Linked DNA regions of Caenorhabditis elegans. The protein of the gene in region 1 purifies or fractionates together with the protein of each later gene. This does not show direct contact. Each region holds a gene or a part of one and is shown on either strand. Other genes may lie near its edges.

The links.
Region 2: the proteins of vha-14 (region 1) and apg-1 fractionate together in Caenorhabditis elegans (co-fractionation; one large-scale study listed by BioGRID). This does not show direct contact.
Region 3: the proteins of vha-14 (region 1) and pcp-5 purify together in Caenorhabditis elegans (affinity purification with mass spectrometry, with the first as the bait; one large-scale study listed by BioGRID). This does not show direct contact.

Annotation. Positions count from the first base shown.
Region 1 is NC_003281.10:9,506,340-9,510,366, forward strand, and holds vha-14 (V-type proton ATPase subunit D), read left to right. Parts: upstream 1-1,760; 5' UTR 1,761-1,768; coding exon 1,769-1,815; intron 1,816-1,867; coding exon 1,868-1,985; intron 1,986-2,034; coding exon 2,035-2,182; intron 2,183-2,413; coding exon 2,414-2,769; intron 2,770-2,966; coding exon 2,967-3,071; 3' UTR 3,072-3,418; downstream 3,419-4,027. UniProt on the Caenorhabditis elegans protein: Subunit of the V1 complex of vacuolar(H+)-ATPase (V-ATPase), a multisubunit enzyme composed of a peripheral complex (V1) that hydrolyzes ATP and a membrane integral complex (V0) that translocates protons.
Region 2 is NC_003279.8:14,404,277-14,409,105, reverse strand, and holds the start of apg-1 (AP-1 complex subunit gamma), read right to left. Parts: upstream 3,079-4,829; 5' UTR 3,064-3,078; coding exon 3,002-3,063; intron 2,940-3,001; coding exon 2,735-2,939; intron 2,689-2,734; coding exon 2,564-2,688; intron 1,765-2,563; coding exon 1,068-1,764; intron 1-1,067. Other genes in the region: tcab-1 (WD_REPEATS_REGION domain-containing protein), read left to right, coding at 3,457-3,552, 3,601-3,821, 3,868-4,024, 4,073-4,234.
Region 3 is NC_003281.10:7,904,339-7,909,265, forward strand, and holds pcp-5 (Prolyl carboxy peptidase like protein 5), read right to left. Parts: upstream 3,027-4,927; coding exon 2,836-3,026; intron 2,790-2,835; coding exon 2,610-2,789; intron 2,090-2,609; coding exon 1,993-2,089; intron 1,945-1,992; coding exon 1,841-1,944; intron 1,797-1,840; coding exon 1,727-1,796; intron 1,681-1,726; coding exon 1,507-1,680; intron 1,415-1,506; coding exon 1,032-1,414; intron 990-1,031; coding exon 665-989; 3' UTR 607-664; downstream 1-606.

The DNA.
Region 1 (4,027 bases):
CGAAATCCGAGAGCAGTGGTTGATCGAAGCAATTCAATTGGTACTTCTTTCGCTTCCAACTTCAAGACGTCGGAAACTTCACAAATTTGTTACATTCATTCAATCGATCGAAACGAATGCAGTCTTCGACCTCGCTGATCCTTCTAATGGATCTTCCAACAATCGTGAAGCGGTAAGGAGGGGATCATTTTGCAAGAAAACTACTGTCTCGACTCGACAAATTTTTGTAAGATAAGAAAATGTATGAGTCTTTAAGGAGCACTGTAATTTCAAACTATCATTTCTGCCGAATTTTTATGGATTTTAATTAATTATTTGATAAAAATATATTTATCTATTAAAAAACTATAGAACTAAAAAATTAACACCTATATTTCAACACTGAAAATTCTGCAGAAATCTTCATTCGTTTCATTCGACAAAAATTTTTCGCCTCGAGACCGGTACCGTACTTTTGTCGCTATATTTCGTGTCTGTGTAATATCAATTTTTAAATTTTCGATTTCAGGCAATCATCGGACTCTGGACAGGTGTTTGTAGTAAATGCCGAAAGCAACAAGGAATGCTGATTACCGCTGTCCTCCTCGCAAACGTTCAATCTCTTTTTGCTGTTCCTGTTGAATTTATTGAACGGGTCAAACGATTGGAATGTGAAGAAAAGAACACCAGAAGTCGACGTGATTGGCAGCCACCATGTGAGAAATCGAAGAAAGGATTGCTCACACGATTGTTGCGTAAATAGATCTTACAATCTTCGCCCTATAGCATGTATATTATTTATTATATTTTTATTTTGCTCCCTTCCCCCCCCCCCCCCCCCCACTCACCTAATTCTTGTGTCATTATAATTTTCTAAAGTTTTGTGAAATAAATTTTGACGATGATTTATCAATATTTGTTTATTTTCTTCTATGCTTTCTTCTTGGTTAATTCTCCAATCTACTTTTCTTAAAATTCAATCTGTCAGCTTATTTCGGGACATTGAAAATTACGGTACCCGGTCTCGACACGACTATGTTTTGTTGAATACAAACGGATGTGTGCTTTTAAGGATTACTGTAATTTCTTACTTTCTTTTATGCGGAATTTTTTATCGAATTTTCATGGTTTTCGTTAACAAAATATATTTATTTATCAACAAACTGAAATAAAACAACTAAAACACTCAAATTTTGACAAATTGTGAGAAAAACTGAAAAACCCGAATGTAAATTCCACAGCAGCGAAAGTTTAAAAATGCATTACTCTTGCACACCAGTTTGTAATTTACGAAAAATAATTGTCGTGTCGAGACCGGCTACCGTATTTTTTTACGAAAAATTTCGTGTCTAGGTAATATTTATTAACAAACAAGTCATTAATGCTAAAAGAAGTGGAGGGACCGGCTTTTAAATTGCGAATAGTACATTTATTTTAAAATTAGATTTCAAAAAGTTTTGAAGCTGAAATTTTAAAAAAATCGAAGATTAATTTTTAAATTGATTATCCAACCCCTTTAACCTTTTACTGAAAATGATATTTTCTATTGGGATAAAGTTTTATTCCAACAATTCCCAATGAAACATCAAAGATATGCCTTCTTCTCTCTTCTCTCTTATATTTCCACCTCATGACAAGACTTGCAAACTCGCTCTATTGAAAATGCCGTCGATCAATCGGCAGTCATTGGTCTTTTGTGTATTTCTTGCGAACAACCGATTTCGCTCATTTTTGCCATATTTTAATGTTTTTTTCATAGAAATAACAAACTTTTTTTCCAGGTCGAACCATGTCCGGGGGAGGAAAAGACAGAATCGCGGTTTTCCCGTCTAGAATGTGAGTTTTATAGAAGAAAAACTTGATGGAAATCTAAAAAATAACTATTCAGGGCGCAAACCCTGATGAAAACCCGTCTGAAGGGTGCTCAAAAGGGTCATTCTCTGCTGAAGAAGAAGGCCGATGCGTTGAATCTTCGTTTCCGTGACATTTTGAGAAAGATTGTTGAGGTTTGTTTGAAAATTCTGAGGTGAAACGCTAAAAATCAAATGTTTTCAGAACAAAGTCCTCATGGGAGAGGTTATGAAAGAGGCTGCATTCTCTTTGGCTGAAGCCAAGTTCACTGCTGGAGATTTCTCTCACACTGTCATTCAAAACGTTTCTCAAGCTCAATATCGTGTTCGCATGAAGAAAGAGAACGTTGTCGGTGAGTCATTCGAGAATTTTTATTTTTTCGCGCGATTATATTTTCACTTTTTTCCACATTTTAAGAATAAACTATGAGTTTCTTTTGGCGTTATCGAGTTTACTTCTCAAAAAACGATAGAATTAGAACGAATTAACTTAAAAGTGCGAAAAAACTAAAAGTCGTGCTGCTGAATTGCGAGCTGTAAGAGTTCAAATAATTTGATTTTGTCGGAAATTTAACCGTTTTCAGGAGTTTTCCTTCCGGTATTCGACGCCTACCAAGACGGACCAGATGCATACGATCTTACTGGTCTCGGAAAGGGAGGAGCCAACATTGCTCGCCTGAAGAAGAACTACAACAAGGCCATCGAATTGCTCGTCGAGCTCGCCACTCTTCAAACATGCTTCATCACTTTGGATGAAGCCATCAAGGTTACCAACAGGCGTGTCAATGCTATCGAGCACGTTATCATCCCACGTATCGAGAACACTCTGACATACATTGTGACTGAGTTGGACGAAATGGAAAGAGAGGAGTTCTTCAGAATGAAGAAGATTCAGGCTAACAAAAAGAAACTGAAGGAACAAGAAGCTGCTCAAAAAGCAGTGAGTATCGACTTTTCATTTCTGGGTTTCTCACCTCACACGATATTGAATAATATTATCAGAAAAAAGTCGAAAAGTTTTTACAACGGTTTTTCATTTTTCCAAATAGAACCGTCATGAAAGAATTGAAAAATGCTGTCACTACAGTGTACCCATAAGAGACGACTTAAAACTAAAAAAGATAAATAAAATTTCAGTTGGAAGGACCAGGACCAGGAGAGGACGCAGCACATTCTGAAAATAATCCACCGCGAAATTTGCTTGCATCGGAAGAAGATAACTTGCCAGTCCTTTTCAATTAACCATTTGATTTTCTGATTGCCTCACAATGATTTCTGCTGTAATTTTAATTTTTTCGGATTACGGTAGGAACTCATTTGACCACTAGTCTCTTATCATTATTTGTAATCAGATCCCCCTTCCTTCCCCTCATCCAACACCCTCCGATGTTCTTCCTGTTTTCTATGTGGTTTCTTCTCGTATAGATTGACAAACATTCCATTAATTTTCCCGTATGCAAGAACAATCGATTCTGTGAATATGTACTCCAACCATTTTCTTTTAAAACTTAAAAATTCCTAACATTTTCCTGCTTCCATTTTCCATTTAGACTCGTGATGTTATCGTAGTAAAGGTTTGTAAATGAAATCTTCAGTAAATAAGAATTTCCACCGCGGTAAGTTGTTTCCTAATTATTTATTTGTTCAGAAAAAGAGCCGTTATTGAATTATGTCGTCGTCGACTGAAAGTGACACTGTGAGCAAGAGAAGAGCCATTTATAATTGCGTTTTTGGAAAGTGGTTTGAGTGGTGTCGTGTGGTCTAAAATATTGAAGATACGAAAATTAAAGTGTGAGAGACGGAGAGGCTCGTTATTCGTGTGAAGAGCCCTTCTATTCACAATTTGTTCGGCAGAACATTTTCCTTGCCTATTCTCTAAATTTCGATATGGGTTTCTATGTAATGTCATCTTCTTGAAATTCTGAATTTGTATTAGTGCACTTAGATATGGGGCGGATTCTTAATTAAGATTAATTAAATACCACTTAAAAAATTTTCAATTTTTTAATTTTCAAAAAGTTTCATAAATTTCTTAATTTATTTTTTTATAATCCATTAATCCTCTTCACTCACTCTGTTTGTGCTCTTCTTCTACTCATTCTCATCCTTCTTTTTGGCCCTTCAATGACATATCCCATTTCGGTTTCCCTTCCTCTTTTTCTCTTTTTCTCTTCTACACTTCTGCCTCTTTTCGTCGG
Region 2 (4,829 bases), on another chromosome or scaffold:
AATTGAAAATTTTGTATTAAACGGAAAAATTTTAATAAAATAAACAGAAAATGAACTGAAATTGGTTGAGGCTCACACTACAAACTACACATTTCTTCAGCCTCCCCAAACTTGGTTGAGGCTAGAAAAAGTGTAGTTTGCAGTGCGTGAGCCTCAACCAATTATCACTTGGACAGTTTGGCCTGCAAAATATGAAATTTTATGAAAAACTGGGTTTTTTTGGGGGGAAAATTGTACTAAAAAAGCTAAGTTTCACGTTCAAAACGGAAAAAAATGAAATTGAATGAGGCTCCCACTACAAACTACAACTCCACAGCCTCTAAAAACTTGGTTGAGGCTAGAAAAAGTGTAGTTTGTAGTGTAAGCCTCAACCAATTATTATTTACACAGTTTGAGCTGCAAAATGGAATAATTTATTGAAAAACTGATTTTTTAGGCAAAATTTTACTAAAAAGCTAAGTTTCACGTCGAAAACGGAATAGAAAACTAAAAATAAATTTGGTTGAGGCTCACACTACAAACTACAACTCCACAGCCTCATCAAATCTGGTTGAGGCTAGAAAAAGTGTAGTTTGTAGTGCGTGAGCCTCAACCAAGCTGCAAATTTGTCAAAAAACTTGGTTTTCCGGACAAGTTTTAGGCGATTTTCATGTTGAAAACTGAATTTTCAAAATTCTGTTAAAATAAACAAAAAATGAACTGAAATTGAGTGAGGCTCACAATACAAACTACAACTCCACAGCCTCCCCAAATTTGGTTGAGGCTAGAAAAAGTGTAGTTTGTAGTGTGTGAGCCTCAACCAAGCTACAAAATTCGAAAATTCGTTGAAAAACTTGTTTTTCTCGACAATTTTTACTAAAACATGCGATTTTCATTTTGAAAACTCATCAGAATAATTTTTTAAAAAATTCTATTAAAATTAACAACAGAAATAAAATGAAATAAATTTAGTTGAGGCTCTCACACTACAAACTACACACTTTTTCAGCCTCAACCCACCGCCAAAACCTCAATTTTTGAGCCAAAATCGCCATTTTTTCCTTTTTTTTTTTTCCACAAAATCCAACCTGATAATCAACATGAACAGTCTTCAGAAGCGTATTCAACGCCACATATCGAATATTCTTATCCGTATTCAAAAGGAATCGTCCAAGAATGTTCACAGCCAAAATGCGCAGGCCACTCTCGCTCTTAATCTCCATAATCGTGAGTACAGTCTCATAGAGAATCGCGTTTCCGACATTTTTCGCCGTTTCCGTATTCGTTGCCACTTGCGCCAGAATATCATTCATCTCTTCAGTGACACGTACGTCATCCTTCCCCAAAACTCTCAATAATCTCAGAATTTTGACCTGAAGGAACGGGTCAGAGATGCCGGTGACGTCGTGTTCCGGCGAATATCCACTCATTAGAAGATTCTTTAGAATCCGTACCAAATTCGGCACCAATTTCTTAAAATGATTCAAGACATCCGGAGATTTCTCGCACATTTCTGTGACCAAAGTCGTTGCGCCCATCAAAACTCCGTGATTTTTCTCTCCCAGAAGCGATCGGGTACATGGAATGAAGACTTCCATCAGCTCCGGCACTTTTCGAACGATACGGAACGCACAGAGCGCCGCTTTTTTCTTTAAATACGCATTGTTCTGCTTGATGATCTTCTCAACCTCGTTGGCCAGGTCTCGACACATTTCCGCTGAGCAAATTGAGCCCAGAGTGCAGAGAGCTAGTCCGCTGACGAATTGGGTGGAACAGGTGAGGTCGCTGGAAATGAAGAATTTAGTTTTAAAAAATAGAGTTTTCCGCGGAAATTGGGATTTTTTGCTTTTATTGTATCGAAAAATAGTGAAAATTCGATGAAAAACATTGAAAATGAGCAAAATATTAGTTGAGGCTCAGGCTACAAACTACAACTTCTGTCAGCCTCACCAAATTGGAAAACAAATCGTTTAAAATTTGGATTTTTAGCAAAATTTTCACCTTTTTTGCTCAATTTCCGGATTTTACAACCAATTTCTCTATTATTTCGTCGAAAAATAGTGAAAATTCGATGAAAAACATTGAAAATGAGCAAAATATTAGTTGAGGCTAAGACTACAAACTACAACTTTCTGTCAGCCTCACCAAAGTTGGAAGAAATCGTTTTATATTTGGATTTCTAGCAAAATCGTGAATTTTAAAGCAAAAATTCCAGTTTTTAGAACCAAATTCACTAATTTTAGCTCGAAAAATAGTAAAAATTGATGAAAAATCACTAAAAATGAGCAAAATCAAGTTAAAAATCTTGGTTGAGGCTTAGGCTACAAACTACAACTTTTGTCAGCCTCCCCAAAGCTGCTGGTTGAGGCTAAAAAAGTTGTAGTTTGTAGTCTACGCCTCAACCAAAATAATAATTCTTCGGATTTTTTTGTTTTCTATAGCATTTTTTACTGTAAAATCTCATTTTTGCATTGAAAATCCTTTAAAAATTGCTTTTTCTTCAAAAAATCAAATTTTGATGAGAAAAATCGCAGAAAAAAAGCTTTTAAACAAGATTTTTTCATTTTCATGGGTTTTTGCTAACTTTTTAAGCGAATTAGTGACGAGCATATGAACTTCCGATCGTTCATCGAGAAGAAGCATAGCTCCAAGATACCCAATTCGTTTGTCAGTGAATCGGGGGTGAGCCACCAGTTTCATGCACTCCATCTGAATAACAAATAATTTAATTTCCGGCGAAAAACGGTTCAATAACCTGTCCAAAATGCGCTGGGTAGCCGAGCATATGAATATAGAGCAATTTCGCGATATTTCTACATTTCCACGGAGAATCATCGTCTCGGAAGCTTTCTCGAATATTCGCACTTTCTCTATCCACCACTGCTCGCTCTTCAGCCATCGTTCGTGCCGCTCTGACCTGCCGAATTAGGTCTCGAAGCCGCATCGGAGTGCCGAGAGTTCTGAAAAAATAGAATTTACTGGGGAAATTTCGCAAAAATTTGAGTTTTTTAATGTTACAAACCTTCCAATCTTCGACTTATACTCATCGATCTTCTCAATGGCTAGCTCGACAGCCGTCGCCATCCTTGGAGCCTCACCCTGCAAAAATTCCTCATTTTTTGACGTTTTTTTTGGAGTTTTTTAGTTTTTTTTACAGCTCAGCAGTGAAAGTAAGTGGAATAAGTGAAATAAACGACGCTTATTAGTGAAAAAATGAATTTTTTAATCAAAAAATCACGAAAATCCACTAGAAAAAGCTGAAAAATCAGTGACAACACTGCAATTTTATTGATTTTTTGCATTTTACAATCCAACGCAGGGGGCGAGTCCGCAATTGCGCGTGAGGTCTGGTGTGGAGGTACCCGATTGCAGACCGTAGTAGGGGGAATTTAATTTTTGTTTTTTTTCTTTTTTCAATTTTTCGATTAAAAATCACTGAAACTTGAACTTTTCGCCAAAAAAATCGATTTTTTCCAGATGAACACCGAAGAATCGTCGTCCTCACAAGAATTGGAGGAGAAAAAACCGTCTCTCCGCGCTGAAAGATGCGGGATAGCGTCGCTTTTGTCTTCGGTAATTAAATTTCACTTGTTTTCCAAAGAAAAACCGCTTGCTTTTTAGCTCCGCAGTGACCATCTTGCGTCGAAAATCGATGAGCTATCGACCACAGAGGCTGCTGCTTCAGAAGAAATTCCCGAAGAAATCCCAGAAAACCGCCCATTAAATCGAAAAGAGAAGCGAAAACTCCAGAGAATGCAGGAAATTGACCAAGAAGTCAAGAAAAAAGCTCAAGAACCTGTAGAAATCGCCGAAATCCCCACAAATCTTAAAAATACATTTTGGTATCTGAAAATTCGAATTTTAAGTCAAAAAATCTGAAATTTTCAGCGATAAAGCCACTTTCAACTCGTACAACGCTCAATTCGGCTATAAATCAACGGAAAATAATAATTTTGTGCACTTTTCCATTCAAAATGAACAGGGAAACCGGGCTCTTGTGGCTTCACAGGATAGATTTATAAGAATGTATAAAATAGATGAAACTGTCGGTTTTTCTTCCAAAATTTCTGTAAAATAACGCTAAAAATTGCAGCCAGAAGTGATATGGAAGCATAATACGGGAAATTTGGTGCTGGATTCTTGTTGGGAAAACTCTGGAAAAGGGGTGTTCTCGTCGTCAAAACTGCGTCCAATTCAGCTATTTGATACGGAAAATGGAAGTATTCTCGGTGCTTATAATGGAAAAGATGCTGGGGTTGGTTTTTTTTTTTGCAAAAAAAAAAACGAAAAAAAAATGCTTAAAAATTGACATTTTTACATAAAAATCCAAAAAAAATTGGTTGAGGCTCAGAGACTACAAACTACAATTTTCTGAGCCCCAACCAATATTGGGTGAGGCTAAAAATAGTTGTAGTTTGTAGTCTTTAAAAGTAATTTTTCACTTTTTTTTCAATTAAAATCTGTTTTTTAATCAAATTTGTGCCAAAAACCTCTAAAAATAACTGAAAATTGCTAATTTTTTAAACAAAAATGCATTGATTGAGGCTCAGACTACAAACTACAATTTTCTGAGCCTCAACCAATATTGGGTGAGGCTGAAAAAGTTGTAGTTTGTAGTCTCTAAAAGAAATGTTTCACTTTTTTTCAAATTAAAGCTGCTTTTTAATCAAATTTGTGCCAAAAACTCGAAAAACCACGAAAAATTAAAATCTTCGCCTATTAATTCATTTCGAGACTACAAACTACAACTTTTTGAGCCTCAACCATTTTGTAGTTTGTAGTATAGTCGTTTTTCTGCAAATTTGATAAGTTTCAGAATTTAACATTTTAAAAAAATTTCCCTTAAAATT
Region 3 (4,927 bases), 1.6 Mb from region 1:
CAGACTTCTTTGTTTTTTAGTGAGAAACTACCCGATCCACCCGACCACAAAACATTATTTTGTAGCGACTTTTGATGACATGCTCAATTGTTTTCATTACATTTTTGTGCATTTTCTGTATAAATTTGACAATTTAAATTCAAGATACAAACAGAGTTTCAAGATTATTTTGAGTTCCATAGACGCCAAAAATTGGAAAAATTATACAAATGAGAAATTATTTTGTGGAATGTTTGTCCAATTTTTTTTTCAAAGTTTAGTGTCATAATTTATTTATCCGAAAATAATTTCAATTTTAATTTAACATTGTGAAAAGAGATACTCAAAGTATGCATGAAAATTGCAGTTGCTGATAAAAGTCCGACACATCGAAAAATATTTTTTCTGTTGGAAAAAAATCCGAAATGGGCCATTTTGTCGAATTTCCATAAGTAATGTGTCCGGGGAAAACTAAAAATTAGCAAAATTTTGAAGCCTTTTCCGGCTTATTTTTTTCACATTTCAAGACATGTTCTTCGTTTTAATGCCATAGTAAGTATGGGTACATAAACTTGCCAAAGCTTATGCACCCATACTTACTACGACATTAAAAGATGACATCTCACATTGAATTAATCATTTATTTAATAAAAAACAAATTACAGAAAATCGTGTAGAATCAAATTTAATCATATCTCCAAGAATTTCTCGCCTTCTCCTTGATCCATTTCTTGATTGCCTGCGTCTCCATGGCTCGAACCTTTTTAACTTCTTCGGTATCCTGTGGATGAGCTCCACGTAAATCATAATGATGAGCTCCTTGTTTCAGAATTACACTAATCACTGATCCCTGTACCTTATCGGAATGATCGTAGCCACCACCACTCCATGGATCCAGGTAACCATTCGAGAAGACAATATTGGATGCAGATGGAAGAGAAGTTGCTCCAAATGCAAGGCCACCGGCTAATGGGCGAAGAAGAGTTTTGTTGTAATGGATCGAGGAGAACCTTAAATTAAAATTTCGAATGAATAACGTTATATTTACTTACGTTTGCATGCAGAACTCTGCATATTTCTCTGATGTAAATGGACAATCCTTCCAGAAGAAATCATTTGGATATCCACTTCCACACAGTGGCATAACCATTTCCGTACATGTTTGAAATGGCCATCCCAATGGATCACCTAATGATCCATATGCACTATCACATTTCGCTGCATTTGCACAATGCGTTGACTTGTCTCCTGTGTAATTGTAGTACAGGTTGACAATTTTGTACAGTTGTTCTGCAGATTCTTCTTGTGTTTTTCCTGGTTGACTTGCAGATTTGCAGGCTTCCTTGACTGGCCAGGCAGGAAGAGAGCTCAGGAAAGAAGTTGGATATGGATAGTTTACCATAGCCATTGCTTCCATCGATTCTCTTATGTATTGCTGAAAAAGTGATAAGTTTCTCAAGAAGGAAAATTCATTTATTTGACATTCCGAATTCAAAAAAATTGTCCATTAAACTTATCAACTCTCACCTTCAAAAATCCTATATCATCTTTATTTTCCAACTTTGACTTAGGATCTAATTTATACAGAACATTCAAATACTGTCTTCCACTGTCACTTTTTGCCAATTCATCCAATGCAATCCATCCTTTTTCAATAGCTTTTCTGTTGCATCCAGCATCAAGAAAAGCCCGAGTGACAATCTAAATGCTGGTTTTAATTGGAATTATTTTAGAAATTGAAACTTACAAAATCATAAACATCTTCTGGAATATTGGAGTCTGTGAACCAAAATACTGGAGCTGACGCGGCAATTGCTCTGAACAAATGATCTTTAAAATAACATAATTAAATTTTACAAACCCATCAACTATATGGGGATACTTGATTCTAAACCAAGCTGACAACATTCCACCGTATGATCCTCCAAATGCAATAACTGCCGACTTTTGAGCTCCTTTGATTTTCTGTAATAGCAAGAAGTTAAAATTAAATAAAATTGGGCTATAGATTACCTCATTTTTGAAGAATTGCACAGAAAGGGCAAAATCAGCCAGAGCCTGTTGGGATGAAAGATAACCAAGATGACGAATGTCTGTGTAGCTTTCGTTTCTGAATATTCAAACAATATAGGGCTTTCATGTAGGCACCCTAACATCACCTTACACCTTACAAATGTTATTTGCCTAATGTACCAAGCCATTTTCATCGATGGCTGTGAAATTTAGAACAAAAAGGAGGTTTCTATCAGAGCCTCGCCATTCTCAAAATAAACATTTTTTGAATCTGTCTATATTTATTAGGCAAGGCAGAATTTGCCCAAATATGGACGAATAATAAGTGTTAACTTTGAGCAGACATTAGCAATACTTGGGCTAAATACTTAAGGAAGAAATAATTTAGGATGCTCCAAAGACCAAGGCTTTCCAAGACTGGCCCAAGTTATATCAACTTCTGCTTCAAGTAAATATTTTTGGCCACACTTGGTCAAGAATTTTCTTATTTGGTACGGCGCTTTTATTATTAAGCGGTATCTTGAAATAGTGAAACACTTTACTTTTCACAGATTTTATTGGTTAGTTTCATTACTCAGCTTTGATTACTCAACAACTTTTTTCAAAATCTAACTTACTTGAAAGGTTGAGATTTTCCGTAGAATCGGTGCTCAACAAAAACAACAGCAGCCTTGAGCTCTGGTGCAAGATCCCACATGAATCCTGTGTTTTCGGCAAATGCCTCAAGACTTCCCTCGTTACCAGTGTAAAAGAGTATTGGACCACCAGTCTCGTAATGATCGATATTCAAGAAATATCTGCAATTGAATAGAGCCAAATAATTGATAAGTAGCGGCAACTTACCGTAAATCAAATTCAAGATCATTGGTGAATGCGAAAGGATCAATTGGAGCTTTGAGATATCCTTCTTCATATTTGTATTTTCCAATACTTTTTTCAAATTTTGAAGCACCATTTTGAGTGACAGGATCTCGTAGTAAAGTGAGACAATGCGTTGTGGCAATTAAAATTGCCAAGGAGATGAAAATGTTCATCTGGAAAATTTAATTTAAAAAGTTGTAATGATAATAAACGAGAGTTATTTATTCCTGCTGGAAATTTCAAAGAAAACGTAAAAATCTGCAATTTTTCAAATAAAATGTGAAACCAACTAACAAACCTTGTGTTTTTCTATACAATATAGAGGATTAAACGAATGAAATCGATCGATAAAGTGACAGTTGCTCGATGACCCTTTATTAATTGGTTTTCCCAGAGCCCAACACCTGACACTGGTCACTTCTTTTTATTGAAATGATCTTCAACAACTCGAAAACGTATCTTTATGTATTAATTTGATAGTAAATAAGAGATAAACATAAAATACAAGATTTTTTGAATGAAATAATAAGCCATGGGAATTAATTTTTATGTTGAGTCTTGATCTTGAAATCCACAGCTTTGATGGCTTTCGTTTCGTGAAAAAAAGGCAATGATAACCTGAAAAACCTTCTTGAACTGGATTCTTTGACATACCGTGGACGCTCGCGAATTCTTATTTTGAGAAGGTTTACAGACTCCTCGCGGAAAGGAGATGGTGAGTGAATATCAGAACAACAAGGATGATATTTTTTCATATGGAATTTTCCACGAATTCGTCATGCGCATACACTGGTTTGTTGAATTTTTATGATCTTCTCTAATTTTAATATTCGTAAAAAATATTCCTTAAAGCTAAGACAGTCGAGATATGATCCATTAAGTTAAATCGATGAGGTACAGCACTATTAGAGAAAATACTGTATATTTTCATTTATGGCACTATTAAGATCTCCATATACTTTTCATTACCTATGTAGGTTCAAAAACTAAAAAATTCATATTATTTTTGTCTATGCTCTTAGTGCCGCTCGTTTTTCATCTAGATGGCCCATTTCCGGTGTGGTTTCCCTTCTATTTTTCTCGCTTTTGTTTATGATTTTTTCAGCCATGACGATTATAGTGAATCGTTTTTTGTTGCAAATTCAAATATCTGCAATTTAAAAATATTTTCCCAATTATTTTCATTGTAGACACAATCAATTCGACTAGTTTTCTAAAACTGGCTTTTCCCGTGTTCTCTTATTAAAATACATAAGGTTCTATAGATAAAGTTTTTACCACAACGGAACTCACATTCTCTGAATGTATATTAATAGGAATACTTGGAAAATGCAGTTTTTATGCATGGAAAAATGATGTGTAAGAAAACCACTCAATCCATCACAGTTTCCATTTTTCCAGTAGTGGTTTTTTTGCTGGAAATAAGTATTTTTTCAGGATAAAGCAAATTATGGAATGTGCTTCTGAGGCAGTTTGTCAGCGCAGAGATAAAGAAATTTGCTATCTTGGATGGATTTTGTTGTTTTCTTGGCTTGTTATGGTTATTTATATTACAAAGGTTTGTTTTATAATATTGGAAAAATAATGTTTTAAGTTTTTAAGTTTTTTTAAATGCTTGACATTTGGGCTAGCATCTAACCATAGTTTGGAAAAAAGTTAACTTGAACCAGAAGTTGGCAAACTTGGGAAAACTTTGACAGGTTTGGTTCTGGCTGTGTCCAAGTACAGTTCCAGAAATTATTGTTGGCAACCGCTAATTGGCTTTAGCCTGAAATTAGGCAACTATTCGGCAGCCAGGTTTCTAAAGTTTTGGCACCTTTGAACATATTTTTTGCTGCACTTATATTTTGGTGTGCTTTTGATGTTTGTATCTCTCAGGCTTTTTGAATGCGTTTCTCAGAACAAAATTTTTGAAATTTCTATCAGCTATTTCCAAAGTTGGCAAAAAAATTTACTTGACGTTTGCCACACAGCTTGTTACACTTATGGACAGTCTTATGGAAAGTACATGTAATTGTTTTGGAAATTTCCAACCTATTGTTGAATATTTTCCATTGAATATTTGCTCTTCAAA